Linked DNA regions of Pelodiscus sinensis. The protein of the gene in region 1 interacts with the protein of each later gene in a pairwise test. Links are inferred from orthologs where the notes say so. Each region holds a gene or a part of one and is shown on either strand. Other genes may lie near its edges.

Region 1 (7,474 bases):
CAGCCCCCCCCGCTGCCCCTTGGGACAGCCTCCCTCCACCTCCCCTGCCCCTTGGGACAGCCCCCCACCCCGCTGCCCCATGCGACAGCCCCATCTGCCCCCATTCCCACCACTCGTTTGGGACTGTCACGTTACTGGAGTTTAAGGGAAGCAGCCAGGTCACTGCTGCACCCCTGGGGGGTGTTTGCCCCAAAAGTGGGTACAAAGGGGCCCTGTGAGGTGTCAAACAAAAGCTACTTTCTTCTGAGTCTGTGTCTGCTCTTCATAGATCGGTTCCTGTCCGTGTGGAGTTAGGAATATGGACTCTGTGTGGAGACGGGACGTTTCTCTGCATGTGCTTGAGCAATGGGCTCAGCCTATGGACATGCTAATTAGCAAGGCTCCAGGGACAAGGGGCCTCCTAAGTACCAGAGACCCACCTGGGAAGGAATCCAGGTGCCTGGCCAGAGACCATGTGACTGTCTCCAGCTTGGAAGAAGCCGGGCGGGGGGGAGATAAAGATGTCATGTGGCCGACTCCATCTTGGTCCTCAGATCTGCTCCTGACCCCAGATGCGGCCTCACAGGGAATCACGAGCCGGGAAGAACTGTGGGCCCATCTGGATACAGGATATACACCAAGGACTTCTAAGCCAGCAGCTGTAACATCTCTGCTAGAGCCTGCCTCGAGAACTGGGAGATTCACTGCATGTAACGTACGATCCTTTAACAACCTCACTCTCACGCTTCCTTTCTCTTAGGGGGTGTCTAGACTACAGGGTTTTGTCGACAAAACTAAACCTGCGTCTACACTAGCGCTGAGTTCTGTTGACATAACGTCGACAGAACTCAGCAGTGTTGTCGACGCTGGTAAACCTCATTTTACAAGGAATAACGCCTTTTGTCGCCAGAAGGCGCTACTGCATCTACACTGTCCTTTGCGTCCACACTGTTATGTTGACAAAGCAGCTTGCGTTGTCGACAGAACTGGATGTGTCTAGACGCTCTTTGTCGACAGAAGCTTTGTCGACAGTATCTGTCAACAAAACTTCTGTCGACAAAACCCTGTTGTCTAGACGTACCCTCACTGATAAACCTTTAGATGTTAGATGCTAAAGGATTGGCCCAGCGTGATTTGTGGGTAAGGTCCGGAGGGGAAATTGACCAGGGATCTGTGGCTGGTTTCTTGGAACCGGACAGAACTTGTTCGGGGTAGGTGGGATTGGGTGCTAGGACCCCTCACCTGTGTATGAGGCCCGGGGCCATCTGGGGCACGGATATTGCTGGGGTGTGGGAGGGGTTTTGCTCGGGAGGCTTCAGGCAGGCAGCTGGAGTGCTCTGGGGGACTGGTGTGTGGCCTGTTTGGGAAGGTCTCCAGTCTGGGGCTGTAAGGAGCCTCGAAGTTGAGCAATTTGCCCTGAGCGGACGCCCTCAGCTGTGCCCAGACCTGGCCACTGTGGCATCTTTATCTCCCTTCCTGGTCTCTTCCAAGCTGGAGATAGTCACATGGTCTCTGGCCAGGCACCTGGATTCCTTCCCAGGTGGGTCTCTGGTACTTAGGAGGCCCGTTGTCCCTGGAGCCTTGCTAATTAGCATGTCCATAGGTTGAGCCCATTGCTCAAGCACATGCAGAGAAACGTCCCGTCTCCACACAGAGTCCATATTCCTAACTCCACACGGACAGGAACCGATCTATGACGAGCAGACACAATGGTTTTTTTTAAATGACTGGAGATGCCTGTCTCCTAGAACTGGAAGGGGCCTTGAAGGTCACTGAGTCCAGTCCCCTGCCTGCACAGCAGGACCAAGTCCCATCTGTCAAGGGGTAGGCCCCCCGGGGGCTGCAGCCCCCCTCTACTGGCCCGTGTGTCGGTCCAGGCCCTTCTCTCAGGGCATATACAGTACCCAAAGTCCCAAAAGTCTCGGCCCCTCTCTCAGGGCAAATATGGTATTCCCAGAACTAGCCCCAAGTCCAGGCCCCCCTAGCAGGGTATATATGGTCTCTGGGGCCTAGCTCCGGAAAAAGCCCCCCCTGGCCGGCGTGTTTGCCGCGGAAAGGGGGGGCGGGGCACCCGGGGCCCCCCTCCACCGGGTCCCAGCAGGCAGGGTTCACGCTCCTGCCTGCTGGGTGGGGAATCCGGCAAGCCCTGGCCCCGGGCTGCTTCCTGCCGCTCTGGCTCTGGCTTCAGCTGCTGCAGGGACACCGGGGCGGCAGCCTGGGCCCCTTGCCGGGCTCCCCGCCTTTATATACGGCTCTGCTGGGAGCATGCCCAGTGGGGCCCTCCCAGCCCGGCAGCACGGGGCCTGCTGCCCCCCACGCCCCCCGGCAAAGGTTTGCCCCACAGACTCAGTAGAAAGTAGCTTTTGTTCGACACCTCACAGGGCCCCTTCGGACCAACTTTTGGGGCAAACCCCCCACCCCCCCCCATGGGCGCAGCAGTGACCTGGCTGCTTCCCTTATACTCCGCTAACGTGACCGGGACAGCCCCCCCATGTGACAGTCCCTCTGCCCCCCGGCCCCCCGCTCCTTCGGGAGAGCCCCCTCCGGCCCCCCCGCTCCTTCGGGAGAGCCCCCTCCGGCCCCCCGCTCCTTCGGGAGAGCCCCCTCCGGCCCCCCGCTCCTTCGGGAGAGCCCCCTCTGCCCCCCGCTCCTTTGAGAGAGCCCCCTCTGCCCCCCGCTCCTTTGAGAGAGCCCCCCTCCGCCCCCACTCCTTTGAGAGAGCCCCCCGTGCCCCCGTCTCCCCCCGCCTGACCGAGGTGGAAACTCACCTTGTATGTGTTGATGCCCCATTTCTTGACAATATCAAACTTCTCCACAGCAAGACCCCGAGCGGCCTCGTCCCCCGCTGCCGTGGGGCTGGGCTGGGGCTGGTGCAGCCCGGAGCCTGGAACACACAGAGCACGGGGCTGGCAGGTCGGGCAGCGTCTCCTCCCAGGCCTCTTCGCTGCAGGTCTGGGCGCCCTACAGTGCCACCCCACCAGCCCTTGGGGGACTGTCGCCAGCCGCATGGTGCTGCTGTGCCAATATCCCCCGCTCCCGGAGGCAGGGGATCCAGGGAGCAGCACGCTTGGGCACAGCCGCCTCCCGGTCCCCACCAGCGCCCTGGCTTGCAGAGTGGCTGTTGCTGGCACTCTGGCCGTGCCCGCCGGCCCAGCAGAAGAGGGGTGGCAGGGGAAGTGCCTCTGAGGGGTGACGGCCGCCAGGCCACAGTGCCCCCCACCGGCTGGAACAGTGGCACTTTGCCTATGCCCTGCAAGGCCCCCTCAGTGCCTCCACCCCACCCCACCCCACAGCAGGGCAGCGGCAGGAAGGCCCCGGCCTGCAGCAGACTCCCAGGGCCCGGCAGGGCTAAGCCAGCCATCTCCATCCTGCTCCCGGCAATGGGGCCTTGCCTTGGCTGTGTCCTGTGCTGCTCTGGTGGCGGCGCAAGGCCCAGACTCGGGCCTAGCACCATGTGCTGCTAAGGCAGCAGCGGGGGAACCTGCCCCCAGGAGGGACTCATCTGGGACACCGATACTCAGAGATGAGCAGGCTTCATATTCCTGCCCAAACTGCTCGGCCCTCCTATCCCTCTGGCTAGTCCCGCCCCCCCAGAGTGGCCAGGCCACTCAAAGTCTTGCTAAGGCCTCAGTGACATCACGTGGTGGGGAGTTCCACAGGCTAACCACGAACCATGGCAGTCTTCCCTTTCCATGCCACGGAGCATCCCCCGGTCCCTGTGCTGTGTGACCAACCAGCTGCCCTAATCTTCCTCTCCCCATGCCCCACATCAGGATTTACCCTCTTCTCTCAGTGACATCCTGTGGCAAGGAGTTCCACATGCTAACCACAGAGCATGACACAGTCTCCCCTTTTGTCCCTTTCCATGCCATGTAGCCAACCAAATGCCTCAATCTCCCTCCCGCCGGCATTGGGATGTATACACCATGCTCAGGGCATGTCTAGACTCCATCCCTCTGTCGCCAGAGGGGTGTGAATTAGACAGACCAACATTGCTAATGACGCAGGGATTCCAATCTCCCGCACATTGCCGGCAAAAAGCAGCAGTCTAGACAGGAATTGGTCAGCAAGGAAAGCTGTTTCCGACCGATCCAGCAAACGTCGTTGCACGAGGCATAAGGGATCGGTCAGAAAAGGCTTTCCTTGTCGACCGACCCACGTCTAGACTGCCACTTTTTACCGGCAAATTGCCATGTCGGCCATTTTTATTCTAATGAAGCGCGGGCTATTGAAATCCCCGCGCCATTAGCAATGTCAGTCTAATTCACACCCCTCTGGCGACAGGGACGGAGTCTAGACATACCCTCAGTGACACAGTGACATAGTGGGACTGTATTTGGGCCATATTCTGTTGGCCTTGCGGTGCTGTATGTGAGTCTGCTGTTCTGTAAGGACTCCAGGTGTGTGTGCGTGCCTCAGTTTCCCTGGGCACAGTGCACTGTCTGGATGAAGACGGGGAAGCTGGGCAGGACTCACTGGGGAGGTCCTGAGGGCCAGGGGAACAGTAGATAACACCCTGGGCCCGGGAAGGGAACAAAGGGGGGCAGGGCTGACACCAGGCTGGGGACTAGGGTCTGGGGTATGGGTCAGTCTTGGCTGGTTTTCAGGACGAGAGGGGGGTATTGAGCAGGAAGGGGGAACAGGGCCCAGTCTCCCCAGGCTGGGCTGTACTGAACGTTCCTGGCTCCTGTAACAAGTCCAGGCTACGCTGTGTCTGTGTCAATGTGTAACTCCTGTGTTCTACCTGCTGCGCATCGGGGTGCAGGGCTGGGGACTCCCCCACACTAGAGGACAGTGGTGGGATGGACTGTACCCCGTGGACGGAGCATCTGCCAGGAAGTCACTGGGCACAGGAGAAGGAAGGGGGCTTGCAAGAGCCAGGCACTGGAGGCCATGGGACGCAGTTCCAGGAAGTGGAGAGGAAAGCAGCTTAACCCAAGTGGGGCCACGGAGAAGGGGGTGCCCCCCCCCCAGAAGAGGTTCCCCTGTGGACTGTGGGAAGTGATCCCAGGAGAGGGCGGTCTAACTCTGCGGGGAAGGGGGGCCCAGGAAGGGTTCTTCCTGGGATCGTGGGGTGCTGCAGCATTGGCCGGTGTGTCTGCACCCGGGGAATGGAGGGAGATGGCCTACACCCGACTCCTGAAGGCAGGCGCCTTGGGGCTGTGCAAGGAGGGGGGCCTGCCCGTGGGGGAACTGACCAAGTCCCAGCTGATTGCCGGCTGGAAGAGAATGATCCTTCCAGGGGGCTGGATCCTGTCCCAGCAGGGAGCAGCCAGACACCCCTGGGGAGTTTCAGGCTCTGAGACAGGAGAAGGGGCAAGGAACTGCCTGACAGGCATGTGGGGCCCGCCAGGCCACGCTCCGCCAGCAGCAGTTCGTCCCAGGCAGGATCTCCTCGGCACAGCTGTGATGCCTGGAGATTGAGCTGCGGCTAAGGACGTGGAGGGCCGTGTGTCACGTTACTGGATTTTAAAGGGGTTCAGACAAGTCACGGCTGCGCCCACAGGGGGGTGTTTGCCCCAAAAGTCTATACAAAGGGGGCCACATGAGGTGTCATATGAAAGCTTATGTCCTACTGATTGTGTGTGTGCTGCTCCCGTACGTGGGATATCGGCGTGCGGCGCTACGGATACGCGCTCCGCGCTCCTGTACGTGGGATATCGGCGTGCGGCGCTACGGATACGCGCTCCCGTACGTGGGATATCGGCGTGCGGCGCTACGGATACGCGCTCCGCGCTCCCGTACGTGGGATATCTGTGTGCGGCGCTACGGATACGCGCTCCGCGCTCCCGTACGTGGGATATCTGTGTGCGGCGCTACGGATACGCGCTCCGCGCTCCTGTACGTGGGATATCGGCGTGCGGCGCTACGGATACGTGCTCCGCGCTCCCGTACGTGGGATATCGGCATGCGGCGCTACGGATACGCGCTCCGCGCTCCCGTACGTGGGATATCGGCGTGCGGCGCTACGGATACGCGCTCCGCGCTCCTGTACGTGGGATATCGGCGTGCGGCGCTACGGATACGCGCTCCGCGCTCCCGTACGTGGGATATCGGCATGCGGCGCTACGGATACGTACTCCGCGCTCCCGTACGTGGGATATCGGCATGCGGCGCTATGGATACGCGCTCCGCGCTCCCGTACGTGGGATATCTGTGTGTGGTGCTACGGATACGTGCTCCGCGCTCCCGTACGTGGGATATCGGCGTGCGGCACTACGGATACGCGCTCCACGCTCCCGTACGTGGGATATGGGCGTGCGGCGATACGGATACGCGCTCCGCGCTCCCGTACGTGGGATATCGGGTGTGCGGCGCTACGGATACGCGCTCCCGTACGTGGGATATCGGCGTGCGGCGCTATGGATACGCGCTCCGCGCTCCCGTACGTGGGATATCTGTGTGTGGCGCTACGGATACGTGCTCCGCGCTCCTGTACGTGGGATATCGGCGTGCGGCGCTACGGATACGCGCTCCACGCTCCCGTATGTGGGATATCGGCGTGCGGCGCTATGGATACGCGCTCCGCGCTCCCGTACGTGGGATATCTGTGTGCGGCGCTACGGATACGCGCTCCGCGCTCCCGTACGTGGGATATCTGTGTGTGGCGCTACGGATACGTGCTCTGTGCTCCCGTACGTGGGATATCTGTGTGTGGCGCTACGGATATGCGCCTCCGCACTCCCGTACGTGGGATATCGGCGTGCGGCGCTACAGATACGCGCTCCGTGCTCCCGTACGTGGGATATCTGTGTGTGGCGCTACGGATACGTGCTCTGCGCTCCCGTACGTGGGATATCTGTGTGTGGCGCTACAGATACGCGCTCCGCGCTCCGTACGTGGGATATCGGCATGCGGCGCTACGGATACGCGCTCTGTGCTCACTCTGGAGGGTTCTGCCGGGGACAGAGCAGTGGGCCAGGACTGTCCAGGCAGTGACTGTGCTAACTGGCACAGCCCCAGGGACAAGAGCTGATGAATTCCTTCATCAAGTAGTTGCTGAACCAACAAGGGGGGGGGGGTGCTATTTTAGATTTGGTGAGTAGTGAGGACCTCAGAGATGAAATGGTTGTAGGGGACAACCTTGGCTCGAGTGATCATGAGCTAATTCAGTTCAAATTAAATGGAAGGATAAACAAAAATAAATCTGAGACGAGGGTTTTTTATTTCAAAAGGGCTAACTTTAGTAAATTAAGGAAATTCGTTAGGGAAGTTGTTTGGACTAAAGAAATTATGGATTTTGGGGTGGAAGAGGCCTGGAATTATTTTAAGTTAAAGTTGCAGAAGCTGTCAGAAGCCTGTATCCCAAGAAAAGGGAAAAAATGTATAGGCAGGTGTGTTAGACCAAGCTGGGTGAGCAAGCATCTCAGGGAGGTGATTAAGAAAAAGCAGAAAGCATTAAGGAGTGCAAGATGGGAGGGATCAGTAAAGAAAGCTGCCTTATTGAGGTTAGAGCATGTAGGGACAAAGTGAGAAAGACTAAAAGTCAGGTAGA
Region 2 (8,007 bases), on another chromosome or scaffold:
CCTGAGAACAGGTGGCTCCTGGCTGGCAGCTCAAGGGACACACTCTCCCCCCTCCCCTAGTGGCTTTTGGGTGCCATGACCCAGAGGAGCCAGTCTGAGCCAAAAGCACCAGGGGGCAGAGGCAGTCCCAGCCCAGTGCAGGACAGGACACAGGGCTGCAGGCACCCTTTGGCAACCAGCCTTGCTGCTTTGCATTCCTTGCTGCAGCCTCCCTGCCCACCTACAGGCAGGACAACCAGTGTTGGTGCCTCCCCTCCCCCCAACCAGGGGCAAAGATGAAAGTTCCCAGGAGGTGCCTGCAGCTACAGGCACCAAATTAACCAGAGCCATTGGCCCAGGGAGGGCCGCCATCCTGCCCACTGACCCGCCCCCCTCCCAAGTGCTCTGGGTTCCCTGCACAGCCTCCCGTCGGCAGCACTGCAGGGCAGCGAATGCAATTGCGACCTAACTGACTGCCATTGGCGCCGTGTGCAGGTGACCAGTGGAACTCACAGCCACTGGGCGTTAGAGGGGAGCACAGCAAGGTGGGGTCAGGCTGTTGTGCATGGAGAGGGCGAGCAGTCAGCAGGGATAGATGCCCTCCTTCACGGGGAACGAAGCAAACCCCCCCTCCCCGGTAGAGCAGGGGCCTCCCCTCTGGGCCACTGGTTCCAGAGCTGACCGCTGTGGAGTTCCCCAGAGCAGCAGGCCCTGGGAAGCAGATTAGATGGGCGCTCCTGGGATCCAGGACCCCGAGTGAGGGGGCCCCCAGCGCATAGGCTGGCCCGAGGGCAGAGACCCTGATAGAAAGCGTGCTGGGATTCTGGGGCAGGTGAGCAGGGCACAAGGGGGCAGGGCATATCCATGGTGGGTCACGGAGTGTGGAAGCCATGGGGGGCTGGGAAGAGCCCCACCTTGATGCCCTGACATGAGGCTGAACCCCCATGTGCAATGAGGTTTGGGGGGCTCAGCCCCTGCTGCTGGGACATGCCTTCCCGTGCCCCCCTCACCAGCCTCACTGGAGCCGGGCTGAGGGGCGTCAATAGGAGGCTGAGCCTGCCCTAGGGATGCCTCACTCGCCAGCATCCTTCTCTGCTAGCAGTGGAGTGAGGACACTCCCTGGGAGTCGCACACTGACTCACGCTACAAACACACAGGCCCTGCCCTGACCTCAGCCTGCCCTGCAGCCCAGCCCAGCCTCCAGCCACACAGCAGGGCAGTGGAGCCACTGGGCGGGGGAGGGAGGGGTGTACAGCGTGCGTGCACATGTACTCCATGAGCAGGGCTCTGTGAGTGTACATACAGCTCGCAAGGCTGTATGTAGGCACATATACAGGGAGCATGGCTTTGTGTGTGTGTGTGTGTACAGTGTGCCAGGCTGTGTGCACACAGGAACAGTGAACAATGCTGTCTGTGTACAATGTGTGCATATGTATGCATATGTACAGTGAGCATGGGTCTCTATGTGTGTATACAGTGCGCACAGCTGTATGTGTGTGTGTGTGTACAGGGTGCCGAGCTGTTTGCACACATGTCCGGTGAGCACGGCTGTGTGTGTCCAGTGTGTCCAGTGAGCACGGTGCTGTGTGCACACATACAGTAAGTGGGATTCTGTGTGCAGTCACTCATGTATCAGGGAAGAAGGGCACCCAGGAACCCCGATTCCCAGGCTGCTGCACACCCCTTGCTCTGCAACAGCCCCAGCGCCCTGGGTCTCCCCCATCTCCCGTGTGAGCAGTCCTGGCCAGTGGAAAGACAAGCCTCCACATGGTTCAAACTCGGCGGCTGCCCATGGGCAGAGGTAGCCAAGCCCAGCTCCCAGGGCTAAGTTCATGTTAGGATGTGGAGACAGTGGATAGAGCTCAGAAGCAGGCAATGAAGATGATGAGGGGGCTGGAGCACGTGACCGACAAGGACAGGCTGAGGGATTTGGGCTTATTTAGACTAGGGATGTAATAGTATAGTCGATTAACTGATGAGCAAAAGCTGATAGGTTAATGCTATAGGCTACACGCATTCCCCGCCCCCCCACTTGCCAGTAAATATTTTAGCACGCTGGCTGGCAATCTGGCTCAGTCCTGGTTTGAAACGGGTCCAAGACCTACCCCTGCTGCAGATCTCCATTTAAAGTGTATTAGAAGCCAGGCGGGCAGGCAGTCCAGCTCAGTTCTGGCTTGCACTGGATTCGGGAGCTCAGACTCACCCTAGACAGAGGCTGCTGCCACCCTGCGTTGCTGCCTCTTTATCAGAGGCAGCAGTGCAAGGCAACAGGCAGCTGGTCGGCGAGGGGAGCTGGTTTTTAAAACGGCTCCCTGTGCGGACCAGCTCCTGCCTGGCACCCTGCACTGCTGCCTCTGTATCAGAGGGGCAGAGGGCTCCTAAGGAGTGAGGCCAGAGCGTACCAGCTGCTGGCCCTGCCTCCGGGGACTATAAAACAGTCGACTGATAAGAATTCATGAGGTTGCTCGATTATTCAATTAGCCGATATTTAACATCCCTAATTGATACTACAGAAGAGAAGAGTGAGGGGGGATTTGAGAGCAGCCTTCAACTTCCTGAAGGGGGTCCAAAGAGGATGGAGAGAGGCTGTTCTCAGTGGTGACAGGTGACAGTATGAGGAGCAATGGTCTCAAGTGGCAGAGGGGGAGGTCTAGTTTGGATTTTAGGAAAAGCTATTTCCCTAGGAGGGTGGGGAAGCACTGGGAGGGGTTCCCTAGGGAAGTGGCGGAATCTCCATTCCTAGAGGTGTTTAAGTCTCGGCTTGACACAGCCCTGGCTGGGAACACTGAGTTGGGTTGGTCCTGCCTTGGGCGGGGACCTGGACTTGATGACCTCTGATGGGTCTATATCACAGCCAGGCGAAAGGCGCCACCTGCTGGGGGAGAGCGGCACAGCGCACTCCCCAACACCCATGGGGTGCAGGGGCACGCTCGGAGCCACTGCACGAGGGAGATGTGCCCCACTCCCACTGCAATCCAGTCGATCAGTCCATGGCAGAGCTGAGACTAGGACCAAGGAGTCCTGGCCCCCAGCCACCCCTGCTCTAACCCACTAGCCCCACTCTCCTCCCCATGCTGGGGAGAGAACCCAGGGGTTCTAGCCCCAGTAATGCTCTTTAGCCATTCAACAGCCCTGCCATGGCGAGGGGTGAGTTCACTGCCTTCTGGCCAGCCCAGGAGCAGAAGGGTCACAGAGCCAGAGAAGGGGACAGCTCTGAGAACAGGGGGATGGGCTCCCTCCCATGACCCTACTCACCTGGCAGGTCCAAGTGGCTGGGCTGAGTGTAAGGCTGGGACTAATAATCAATACCCAGCTCTCATCTAGCTCTTCCACAGGTGGGGAAACTGAGGCACAGAGAAGGAACTGGTGCTTACTCCAGGCCTCCCAGCAGAAAGGGGAATAGAATCCAGCATCTCAGTCCAACTCCCTAGCCACTAGGCCACACTGTCCCTAGCAATGCAGCAGCACCTCCTGGCTGCTCCAGAGGGACCCCCAGCAGGCAGCACCCAAGGAGAGCCAGAGGAGTGCAGCTCCTACATGTCCCTCTGGCTGCGGTGTGTTGGACCCTGCAGGAGGCTCTGCAGTGCCTCATGGAGCCTGTTAAAATAAGCTGGGGCAAGCTACCTCCCCGGGGTGGGGTCCTGCCTTCTGCAAGTAGCGATGGGGCCAGGCCTCATCCCTTACTCACACAGCAGGGCAACCAGCTCCTATTGCATTGCACCTCTCTCCATGCACTTCACTCCCGCTAATGCAGCATGACCCCCATGCACACAGCCTGCTCATGCACCACAGCCCCCATGCACAGCCCCCGCTCATGTAGCATGATCTCCACGCACACAGCCTGCTCATGCACCACAGCCCCCATGCACAGTCCCCGCTCATGTAGCATGATCTCCATGCACACAGCCTGCTCATGCACCACAGCCCCCATGCACTGCCCTCCCCGCTCATGTAGCATGATCTCCACGCACACAGCCTGCTCATGCACCACAGCCCCCATGCACAGCCCCCGCTCATGTAGCATGATCTCCATGCACACAGCCTGCTCATGCACCACAGCCCCCATGCACAGCCCTCCCCGCTCATGTAGCATGATCTCCATGCACACAGCCTGCTCATGCACCACAGCCCCCATGCACAGCCCTCCCCGCTCATGTAGCATGATCTCCACGCACACAGCCTGCTCATGCACCACAGCCCCCATGCACAGCCCTCCCCGCTCATGTAGCATGATCTCCACGCACACAGCCTGCTCATGCACCACAGCCCCCATGCACTGCCCTCCCCGCTCATGTAGCATGATCTCCACGCACACAGCCTGCTCATGCACCACAGCCCCCATGCACTGCCCTCCCCGCTCATGTAGCATGATCTCCATGCACACAGCCTGCTCATGCACCACAGCCCCCATGCACAGCCCCCGCTCATGTAGCATGATCTCCATGCACACAGCCTGCTCATGCACCACAGCCCCCATGCACAGCCCTCCCCGCTCATGTAGCATGATCTCCACGCACACAGCCTGCTCATGCACCACAGCCCCCATGCACAGCCCTCCCCGCTCATGTAGCATGATCTCCATGCACACAGCCTGCTCATGCACCACAGCCCCCATGCACAGCCCTCCCCGCTCATGTAGCATGATCTCCACGCACACAGCCTGCTCATGCACCACAGCCCCCCATTAATACAACGTGCTCCCCCTTGCAGACCTCGCATTTCAGCCTCACCATCGCCATAGGAGCCCTCCATGCATTTCAGCCTCCCTACTCACGCTCCAGCCCCCGCGTGTTCCACCCCCACGCTGATGTGACCCCCCCCCCACGCATCATCCACCGGCGTCGAGCCTCCCGCCCCCCCAGGCACGCAGCGCCCCCCCCAATACTTCACACCCTTAGGTCCCCTAATACACCCCCATGCAGTCCTCCCTTGCACGTCCCCTCCCCTACAGGTGCAACCCCCCCATGCATTGCAACTGTTGCCATAGCGACCGGCTCTGATGTCGCGAGGTTTGCTGCCCCCCCCCCGGCTCCCCAGGGCCAGGCGAAGCTCTCGCGAGATCGCTGGTGCGTGCCCTGGGCTTGCTGCTTCCGGCCGGCGGGGGCTGGGTGCAGAGTCAGCTGGGGAGGAGGGGGCGGGAGGAAGAGCCCGAGCCGGAGCAGGTAGGCGCGGGGCGCGTCGGGGGGGGGCAGGCGCTGCAATGGGCCCGTACGGGGGGGGGGGGGGCAGGGCAGGCGCTGCAATGGGCCCGTACGGGGGGGGGAGCAGGGCAGGCGCTGCAATGGGCCCGTACGGGGGGGGAGGAGCAGGGCAGGCGCTGCAATGGGCCCGTACGGGGGGGGGAGCAGGGCAGGCGCTGCAATGGGCCCGTACGGGGGGGGGGGAGCAGGGCAGGCGCTGCAATGGGCCCGTACGGGGGGGGGAGCAGGGCAGGCGCTGCAATGGGCCCGTACGGGGGGGGAGGAGCAGGGCAGGCGCTGCAATGGGCCCGTACGGGGGGGGGGGGAGCAGGGCAGGCGCTGCAATGGGCCCGTACGGGGGGGGGGAGCAGGGCAGGCGCTGCAATGGGCCCGTACGGGGGGGGGAGCAGGGCAGGCGCTGCAATGGGCCCGTACGGGGGGGGAGGAGCAGGGCAGGCGCTGCAATGGGCCCGTACGGGGGGGGGAGCAGGGCAGGCGCGGCAATGGGCCCGTACGGGGGGGGGGGAGCAGGGCAGGCGCTGCAATGGGCCCGTACTGGGGGGGGAGCAGGGCAGGCGCTGCAATGGGCCCGTACGGGGGGGGGGAGCAGGGCAGGCGCTGCAATGGGCCCGTATGGGGGGGGAGCAGGGCAGGCGCGGCAATGGGCCCGTACGGGGGGGGAGCAGGGCAGGCGCGGCAATGGGCCCGTACTGGGGGGGGAGCAGGGCAGGCGCTGCAATGGGCCCGTCCTGGGGGGGGAGCAGGGCAGGCGCTGCAATGGCCCTGCCCGAACCAGGGAGCACCCTGAGTGGGATGGGGAGGCAGGGCTGAGCGTGCGGGGGGGGCAGGTCGTCTGGGGTGCACACACGTCAGTCGGGTCTATTACTCGGCGGGGAAGATGGGAGTCTGAAGCAGGGTGGGGGGGCAGCAGGCCTGCCCATGTCGTTGCCAGTAGGGAGCCCTGAGAATGGGGATGTCTCGGATCCAGCAGAGGGGCAGGACCCCAGGGTGCCATCCAGAGTGGGGTGGCTGGGGCTGTGCCCTTCAGCCAGAGCAAGGAGCCCAGCACGCAATGGGGGCAGCAGGACTCACCCCTGCTGCTGGGGGGAGCTATTTTTGGGGGACTAGATGCTGCCCCGTTCTCTTGAGTGTGCCCCCCTCAGCTCAGGGGCTGCCTTTCTCCCTGGGGGGCCCATCTTCCCCAGGCAGGGGGGCCAATGAGGAGGCTGAGGGACCTGTGCTCTTGCCCCCATGCTGACCAGAAAATACCCCCCCTATGGGTTTTCCTGCCCCCCCCCCCCATTATTCCATGTAAAGAGTTGGGGGTGGAAGGCAAGGACCAGTGTCCTTACCATTAGCCATTTTCCAGCCTGGGCCTTGCCTTAATGTGGGGTGGCTTGGAGCTCCTGGGGCCAGGGCATTCGGGCCCAGGGAAAGTCTGAGGGGGCCCTGGCAGGGCAGCATGTCAGCTGGAGATGCAGGCAGGCTGCCGTGGGGAAGGATCAGATGGCTGGCAGGGGGGCACTGGGATCTGAGGGAGCCAGAGGAGGGTGTGGTGGGCAGGGAGTGCTGCTACGCCGAGGCAGGGAGCGGCCTAAAACACCGACCCAAGGAAAAAGGGTTGGAAGAATGAGAGGCCATGGTGCTCCCGTCCCTTGTGCAGGGACCACAGAAAGGCCTACTGGCTAGTATGGGGGGAGCTGAGAGCCAGGACTCCTGGGTTCTGTTCCCAGCTCTGGGAGGGAAGTGGAGTCAGGAGTTTGGGAATTCTTCTGTTGACTCCTTGGCCTTGGGCAAGTCCCTGGCTCTTTGCCTCAGTTTCCCCTTCTGTGCAGCATGTTATGGCTGGTCTGGACTCTTCTCCTGGGGGCTGAGGTCTGTGTGCTGCGGGGAGGCCTGTTTTGATTGGCCAGCATGCAGTGATGGAAGGGGGGGGCCTTTCCCTACTGTAACCCCCCCCCATCCTGCATGTGCTGTTCCTTGCTGGCAGCACTGCTGTGACCCTGCGCCCATTGCCTTTGAGGCCAACACTCAATAGAGGCAGAGTGAAGGCTGCCGATCCAGCTGGCCGTGGTGGGCGCTGAGCACAGCCTGGCACAGCCGACCCCCAGCTCTGCCTTTCAGTATTGTGATGCAGGGAGAAAGGGCCCTTGTGGGACTGTGGCCCTGCCCTGGGCTCTGGACTGATCTGTCTCACAGGTTGCCTGCAGGTCTTCCTACCCCCCAGGCTGCGGGGCTGGGCTGGGGTAGCCTGGAGCCAGTGGGTCAGCAGCCCCCCACCTCCCCTCCCCTCCCCAGCCATCACCAGCTGCCCGACTAGGAAGGCCGGATAAGGGGCGCCCGAGAGGTGGGGCGGGTTCTTGAGTGGCCTAGGGGTTAGGGCATTGGCCTGGGGATGCCCAGGTTTGTGGGTTTGAGCCCCGCCCACCTAGGGTGCATCCTGAGGGCCAGCACCAGCTGCCCCATTAGGAAGGCTGGACAAGGGGCACCCTGGAGGAAGGGAGGTGGGGTTGGTTCTTGAGTGGCCTGGGGTTAAAGCATTGGCCCGGGGACCCCAGGTTTGTGGGTTCAAGACCTGCCCACCTGGGGTGCATCCTGAGGGCCAGCACCAGCTGTTGAACACATGGAGGTCTGTGCTGGCATAGAGCTGGGACTCAGGGCCAGACCCACCTTGCCATGGAGCTGAGCTTCTGGGGTGTGCGCCCCCAGCAGCCGGCTGCACGGGGAGGTGTTGTCCCCCGCGGGCACCAGATGCCAGCCAGCCTTGCCCTTCCTGCTGCCCAGGAACCGGCCTCGACGCCAGGCGTGCGCTGCAAGTGATCCGGCCCCAGAGCCCCTGCACTGCTCC
Region 3 (7,217 bases), on another chromosome or scaffold:
GGCAGGCTTTGCTATGCCTCTGGGTTCACTGCTGGTCAAAAGAAAGCATTCTTTTAGAATTAGAGATAATTGATTTTTAATTATTGTTTCATGCTTAAAAACTGTTTTCACTTTTGTTTCAGTTGATGGTTCATTTCTGTTTCTTACATAATTGTTTATAATAAAACCCTTTAAAATTTAATTAATAAGGAGTTGATACCAGTTCTTTAGCAACGGTCATACTAGTAATTTTCATAGGGTATGTCTACACTGCAATGCTATTTTGGGATTCCGGAGTATCCTGAAATAGCTATCCTGCATCTTCACAGCAAGCCGTTATTTCGGGCTCACTATTCCGACATCCCTGTAAGCCTCAAGTTAGTGATGTTTCAGAATAGTGTTTTATTTTGAAATTTGGCTCTGTGTAGATGATGCCAAATGACAAAATAAGCTATTCCAAAATAGCATCGAAATATCTTATTTCGAGTTACGGTGCAGTGTAGACACACCCTATATAGTGTTCCTGGGGCAAACTGTCCAGTAACTTAAACAGAGATTAGTTCCAAAATATGCTAGACTCCTAGATCCTTCCAGACCACACAACATTTATTTCCATAAACCTGCCGTGATGGCAGAGGTGAAAGTAAGCCAGTGCAGCACACCAGTAAGAGACTGTTGGCCACAGCACACACAGGCATGAGCTCCAGGGCTTGGGCTGCATGGTCCCCAGCTAGCCACAGTGCTCGGGCAACAGGGCCCCCAGTGCCCCAGGGATCCAGCAGTCACGCAATACAGTGGCTGCACTCCCAGCCCTGAACTCCCAAACACATCCCCAACCTCATCCTGAGGCTCTCTCACACACACACACCATCCCCTACCCTGACTCCTGCACACCTACACCTGCCATAAGCCCCTTATCCCTACCTTGACTCCTGCACTCACCAGCCCTTGTCCTTGCCCTCATTGTTGGCTGCAGCTACAGCACTTTAATGCTAGCTGTGTATGGACTGGTACTGGCAGCCACTTCTCGCTGGTATGCTGTATTAGCTGTCACCTCTGCCCAAATTCAATGGGAGTTCTGAGTTGCATTATGACAGAGTGGGATATTTGGTATCAGAGTGTAGACTCCATTTTGTGTTGCTTAATGAACACATCTAAACTGGCCCATGGCATCTTCTCATATTGCACTTTAGACAGTGCCTGTTTAGGAAAGATGCTTGACGCCTCATTGAAAGATGATCCTGATGCTTGGTCTACACTACACAGTCTGGTCCATGTGGAAATGTCATCACTTAAATTTGCCTCTTGTCAACATAAGTGACTCTCTATGCCAGTTTAGTAACACCATCTTCCCTACATCTTCACTACAATTGATACAAGTCCTTCTAGTGAGGACATGCACAACCAACACAATGGACCAGATGGGCACACACAAATGCAATTTCATATCTGTGGTAGCAATATATCAACAAAATTTTGTAGTGTGGAGATATGGCCTGAGAAAGCATCAAGAGAGCAATTGATGACCACTAGCTCTATTCTCTCTCCATTCCCTGTCCTATGGAACAATGAACTTCCCACATTGGAATGCACAGGCAGGCCTGCTGACAGCAATTCCAGGCCCCAGGGCAGAACAGTCAATGGGCCCCACACTTACACAAACTATGCCTGCACAAACATGGACTGCCTGACACCTGGGCACTGCTGTGCCTGCACAAGCTGGTGCCGCACCTGCATTGACTGGTGACCAACGAGCTGCTAGCTACACTGCTGGGTGCACTCTTTCAGCATGATCAGCTCTTCCACCTGCCCACATGGTAGGGTTGCACACTGTGCAATTGTGCAACTTCAAAGACCCTTGCCCCACCCTTGCCCTTCTCCTGATGCCACATTCCTGTCTTACTCATTGTCTGAATCCCTTCCCCCGGCTCACTCTATCCCCCCTTCCCTCCATCACTTTCTTTTCCCCACCCTCATTCACTTTCATCAGGCTGGGGCAGAGGGAGGGAGTATGGGCTCTGGGAGGGAGTTTGAGTGCAGAGTATAGTCTGTAGGCTGGGACAGGGGGTTGGGTGCAGCTCCTATTGACCAAGCTGTCCAGCCAATAGGAGCTGCAGAGATGGGGTGGAAGCAACACATAGCAACTCCATCCCCAGGGGCCATGGGAATGTGCCAGCTGCTTCTGGAGTGGCATTGAGTCAGGGTAGGAAGGAAATCTGCCTGAATGTGGACAACAAGAAAAAAAATTGTTTATATGTGAAAAGTGAAATTGTTTCAATAAAATGAAATGGGAAAATAAAGTTTATTATAAATGGTGTGATAACTGCAGATGTTTCCAGATGTATTTCAGGCTACAAGTCTGATCTCTCATTAGCAACATTTTCATCTATTGGAACTCAAGTGACATTTTTTTGTCCTGCTATACTTTTCTAAACTTGGATGTTACTAAAGTATGTATACAATTTTATTGTACTTTGTATGGGAAACACACTGCATGTTATAAAGTAAAGAAATCTAAAGAAAGTCTCTGCCTTTAATGTTGACACCTCATTGTTTCTTCATAAATCTTGTGATACTTGATGTTTTTCTTAAAAACTTCAACTCGAAGAGTCATGGGATTGCACTACAGTCTCAGTTTTGGTTTGATGACTTTTTAAAAAGTAGACTTCTAAGCATTTGCAGTTGCAGAGATAAGGCTTGAATCCCTGAATCCTAAAGTCTCTGTAACTAGAAGGTAAATAAAAAGAATCCCAAATTATTTTTAAATCTCATGATTTTGGCAGCCTGACCCATGAGCTTTGAATGCTGGGATTTGGCAATACCATTAGTCATTCAAAGCATTCTGACATTTATTAAAGAAAGAACATCCTTCAAACTGGAAGCTAGAGTCGCTATTTTTTGACACCACCATAAGCCATAGGTTTATAAAACTAGGTTTTTATTTCAACCCTAAAATATTCATTACAACATTAACACTATTAACACCTCCATGGGAATATAATCATGCATCTGAGCTGGAATGTATTGAGTGCTAGTTTATCATTAACTAGCAGCAGGTTAAAAAAGAAAAATAAGAACAATTAGGTTTATGAATCCTGATGTCAGTCTTGCTGCACATATTAAAGCCACACCCCCTGTACTAAATAGCCTTGCCAAGAGAAAAAAAACTACCAGAGCATGAAAAGCTAGAAAGAAGCTACAAAGCAGATGAAAGCCAGCATCTGGATCTGAAGAATCAAGGTCTTGCTTTTTAAAAATCTGACATTTGTGAGGCATCACATTTTGGTTGAACAACCATATCCACACCAGGAACAAAACTATTTGGTTCCTTTGAAAATGAGGGATCAAAAGCCCCCAGGGAGAAAGGACTAGTCAGGATCCTACACAGATATACAGTATAAACTGGGAGAAGTGCAAATCAGAGAGGCCTAATCAGCCTCCTTATCTGCTTCTTCTGCAGAAAGATAACAAACCTGCATCATACCAATGGGACACACATTCTCTGTATGTGCTCTGTATCTGAACACCCACTGAGAGATTGAAAAGTAAAGGTGGATTTGGAGTGCTCCAGAGGTGGGAAGTGGGTAGGAGTATGGTTTGCAGATAGGGTCTAGGTGCAGACTAGTGTTCCCTGTAAGCTGTGCACCTGCACAAATGCTCAGGGGAGATGCCAATGCTGCTCAGCTGACTTTACAGCTAGGTTTGTGTTTCTCCTGGTGGCACACAACAAACATTTATTCCACACACGGATGGAAACGATTAGAGGAAACCCTCTGGCATGATTCCCTACACAGACTGTCTCCTTCAATTCCCCAATCCAGGGTGTTCCCAAATCCCAACCCCGGGCGAGTTCCCCACAGTACCACAGCCCCAAGAGACTCCCAATTCAGGGCCAGTCTCATGAATACCAGGGACTGTGGGGGACTAGCCCTGGGCTGGGATTCGGGAACACGCCAAGGGGGTGGTGGGCAAATGTTTGGCTCTGAGCTAGAACCAAAGCTGGGACTACAGCTGGAGCCAAAAGCCAGGCGGCTCTCAGCGAAGGCAACAGGAAACTCATCCTCTCCCTCTAGCGCTGTGGCCTAAGGGTCGCTACATGGGGCAGTGACCCGAACTCAGCAGGTGTGTGGGTCACACTGGGTCCACCCAGTGGCCACGAGAAGGGGGTTTGCTCGGCTGCAGCCCACGGAACCGGGGCCGTCGCCGCCCGGCGCTTGCGGGGCGGGGCGGCGCAGGGGCCGGGCCGGCGGCTGGGTGTTGCCCACACGCTTCCTGCACCTGCTCTGGGCGCCGCTGAGCCGCCCCTTCCCCCGCCCCCAACCTGCGGCCACGTCAGGGCCAGCCGGGCTCGGCTCACTCCGCGCCAGCATGTCGGCCAGGGGGGGCTCCATGCCGCCGCCCCCCAACCCCACCGCCTACTTCCCCGCGCCCCGGGTCACGCTGCCCGCGGGCTTGGACATCCTGCGCACCTACTCGGGCGCCTTCATCTGCCTGGAGATCGTGAGTGGCAGGGCTGGGGGCTGCTCGGGGTGGGCTGGCTGGGATCCCCCGCTCGCTCCCCTTCCTTCTCCCGCCTTGCGTCCCCGCGCCCAGCACTTGTTGCGCCGAGCCCAGGGCGCCGCGCCGGGCTAGGAGCGTGCAGTGCCCCGCGCCGCACGGCCGGTGTGGTGCATGCAGACCCGGGGCTGCAGGCTGAGGTGCGGGGCGTGCCGGAGCAGGCGGCACCGCAGCCCTGCCACCGTCCCCGCTGCTAACCTGCCATTTTGTAGGTGGGAGAGGTGCAGCAGCCGCCCCTGGAGCGGCTTGTGGCGGCGGCATCAGGAGGTTCTGCTCCGGGAGCCCGGAGAGCCAGAGCGGGCCTCTGTTCCCCAAAGGAGGACCCGGCCCGGAGACCTGGAGCATTGAACTTTATGCGCCGGGGATACGGGTATAGCAACAGGCTGGGGGGGATGTAGGTGGGGATGGGGGGAGGAGGCTCAGTGGGAGCCCTTCCCCATGCCTCCATCTTGCCTAATCCTTGTTTTCCTGCCTCAAAGCTTCCCCAGAAGGGGGATCATGACCAACATACAACTGTGCTGAAATAACACTGTTCTGATTGCCACTCAGTGGTTGTCATAGCTGCCTCTTGGCAGCCGTTTTATTTTCGGAGGGGTGGGGGAAAGAACACTTGGCCTGTATTATGGAGTGAGTTTGTTTTATATCGAGAAGATCTTGATCCTCACAAATTTAGATCAGATTCAGAAGTCCGAGGTAGTAAAACTGTACGGAGTGTGTGTGTGGTTTTTTGTCTTGAGGGCCCCTCAAACTCTAGCATGGATATTTAACCTCGCTGGCATTGAAAGAGTTTGCAGAATCACTATCGTGATTAGAGATTACAGGTCAGAGGTGATGAAATGCTGGCCCCATTGAAGTGAATAGCAAAATTCCCATTGATTTCAATCTGTCCGGGATTTCACCCACAATGCATTTTTTCTTAGTCACAGATTTGAATACTGTCTTAGACTCCAATCTTCAAATGGATCCCTATAGGTGTGCCTGCCCCTCCCCATGGGGCCTTGATTTTTGTTCAATATGGCCTTCACCCTGGTCCAAGAATCTGCTGGGGTGGATCCAGTTGCAGGACTGGAATCCACATCAATAGTCACCAAAAAGTTAACTTATTGATGGATTTGCCAGCCTGTGTAACCTGGGCTGACTTTCCTAGTCTAGTCCAGGCTTTCTCTGATATGGTGCCTGAGTACAATCATAGTTACTGATTACTTCAGTTAGTAATCTTGCTACCAGTCTCAGCAGTGGGATGTTGGAAAAAAAAGTTGTGCTGTTACAATCCATTAAATGTCTTTTCTCTGGATATTTTGAGCCTAAATATGGAGAGAACCTGTTTCCTCACAACAAATACAACCTGAAGAGAAGCCCTTGAAATTAATTTGAAGACTGATAATACTAATCCACATGGGAATACTGAGTGCAGGGAGACGACAGTGCACTTTTACATAATCAGCTTCATTTTATCCACACATTGCTATACTGTATACCAAAGAAGACCTACATACTCTTAACTGCAGGCAACATCTCCTGAAAATAGAGTCTGAGGTTCTAGATTTAGAAGAAACTGGGCAAGCATTATTTTGAAGTTGTAGTTCTCGCAGTCTGAAATGTTTTTCTTCTACTTCATACCTTGAGAGCTGGAAGGAGGAACTGGAAATGGCAATTCAATATAAATGTGAACACTGCTCAGTTCTATTTCAATCAAGTTAAGGCTTTCTTTATTAAAGGAACAAGCTTCAAGAAAGCAAGCATCACTTTTATAGAGATCTGTGTTTGTGATTGAAATAATTGAGAAGATCGGTGTGCTGCAACTTAAATTTTTAGGACTAAATTCTGCTCCTAATTACATAGATCTTAATATGAAATTAATTTGGCTTATATACTTCATTATCTGATGTTCATGACTCAACAGCTTACCATAGCTTTGCTGGTCTTCTATATTTTACTTTTGTTTGTTGCCTTTTACTCTTTTGGCCATAAACATTAAATTCTGTTTATACATTTACAATTATTTCATATCTGTGTCTGCTGGAAGATTACAAAGCTATATATGAGTACAAGATTTAGATTTCAATCTCATTTACATCTTTGACATACCAGTTGCAACAGATACATATGTATTTATATTTTAGGATAAATGAATTTTTATAATCTTTTCATTAATCATAGAATCATAGAATAATAGGACTGGAAGGGACCTCAAGAGGTCATCGAGTCCAGCCCCCCGCCCTCAAGGCAGGACCAAGCTCCGTCTACACCATCCCTGACAGATGTCTATCTAACCTGTTCTTAAATATCTCCAGAGAGGGAGATTCCACCACCTCCCTTGGCAATTTATTCCAATATTTGACCGCCCTGACAGTTAGGAATTTTTTCCTAATATCCAATCTAAACCTCCCCTGCTGCACTTTAAGCCCATTACTCCTTGTCCTGTCCTCAGAAACCAAGAGGAACAAATTTTCTCCTTCCTCCTTGTGACACCCCTTTAGATATTTGAAAACCGCTATCATGTCCCCCCTTAATCTTCTTTTTTCCAAACTAAACAAGCCCAGTTCATGAAGCCTGGCTTCATAGGTCATGTTCTCTAAACCTTTAATCATTCTTGTCGCTCTTCTCTGTACCCTTTCCAATTTCTCCACATCTTTCTTGAAATGTGGCGCCCAGAACTGGACACAGTACTCCAGCTGAGG

The links.
Region 2: the proteins of ARFIP2 (region 1) and ARF3 interact in a two-hybrid assay, tested with the Homo sapiens proteins (2 studies listed by BioGRID and IntAct). The link is inferred for Pelodiscus sinensis from reciprocal best matches to the Homo sapiens genes ARFIP2 and ARF3.
Region 3: the proteins of ARFIP2 (region 1) and MAL2 interact in binary tests that used the Homo sapiens proteins (3 or more experiments, as listed by UniProt). The two-hybrid records come from large-scale screens. The link is inferred for Pelodiscus sinensis from reciprocal best matches to the Homo sapiens genes ARFIP2 and MAL2.

Annotation. Positions count from the first base shown.
Region 1 is NW_027465814.1:176,995-184,468, forward strand, and holds the start of ARFIP2 (arfaptin-2), read right to left. Parts: upstream 3,003-7,474; 5' UTR 2,988-3,002; coding exon 2,748-2,987; intron 1-2,747. UniProt on the Homo sapiens protein: Plays a role in constitutive metalloproteinase (MMP) secretion from the trans Golgi network. May have important functions during vesicle biogenesis at certain cargo subdomains, which could be predominantly utilized by secreted MMPs, such as MMP7 and MMP2.
Region 2 is NC_134729.1:5,045,621-5,053,627, forward strand, and holds the start of ARF3 (ADP-ribosylation factor 3), read left to right. Parts: upstream 1-5,001; 5' UTR 5,002-5,141; intron 5,142-7,943; 5' UTR 7,944-8,007.
Region 3 is NC_134712.1:22,505,296-22,512,512, reverse strand, and holds the start of MAL2 (protein MAL2), read left to right. Parts: upstream 1-4,211; 5' UTR 4,212-4,347; coding exon 4,348-4,479; intron 4,480-7,217. UniProt on the Homo sapiens protein: Member of the machinery of polarized transport. Required for the indirect transcytotic route at the step of the egress of the transcytosing cargo from perinuclear endosomes in order for it to travel to the apical surface via a raft-dependent pathway.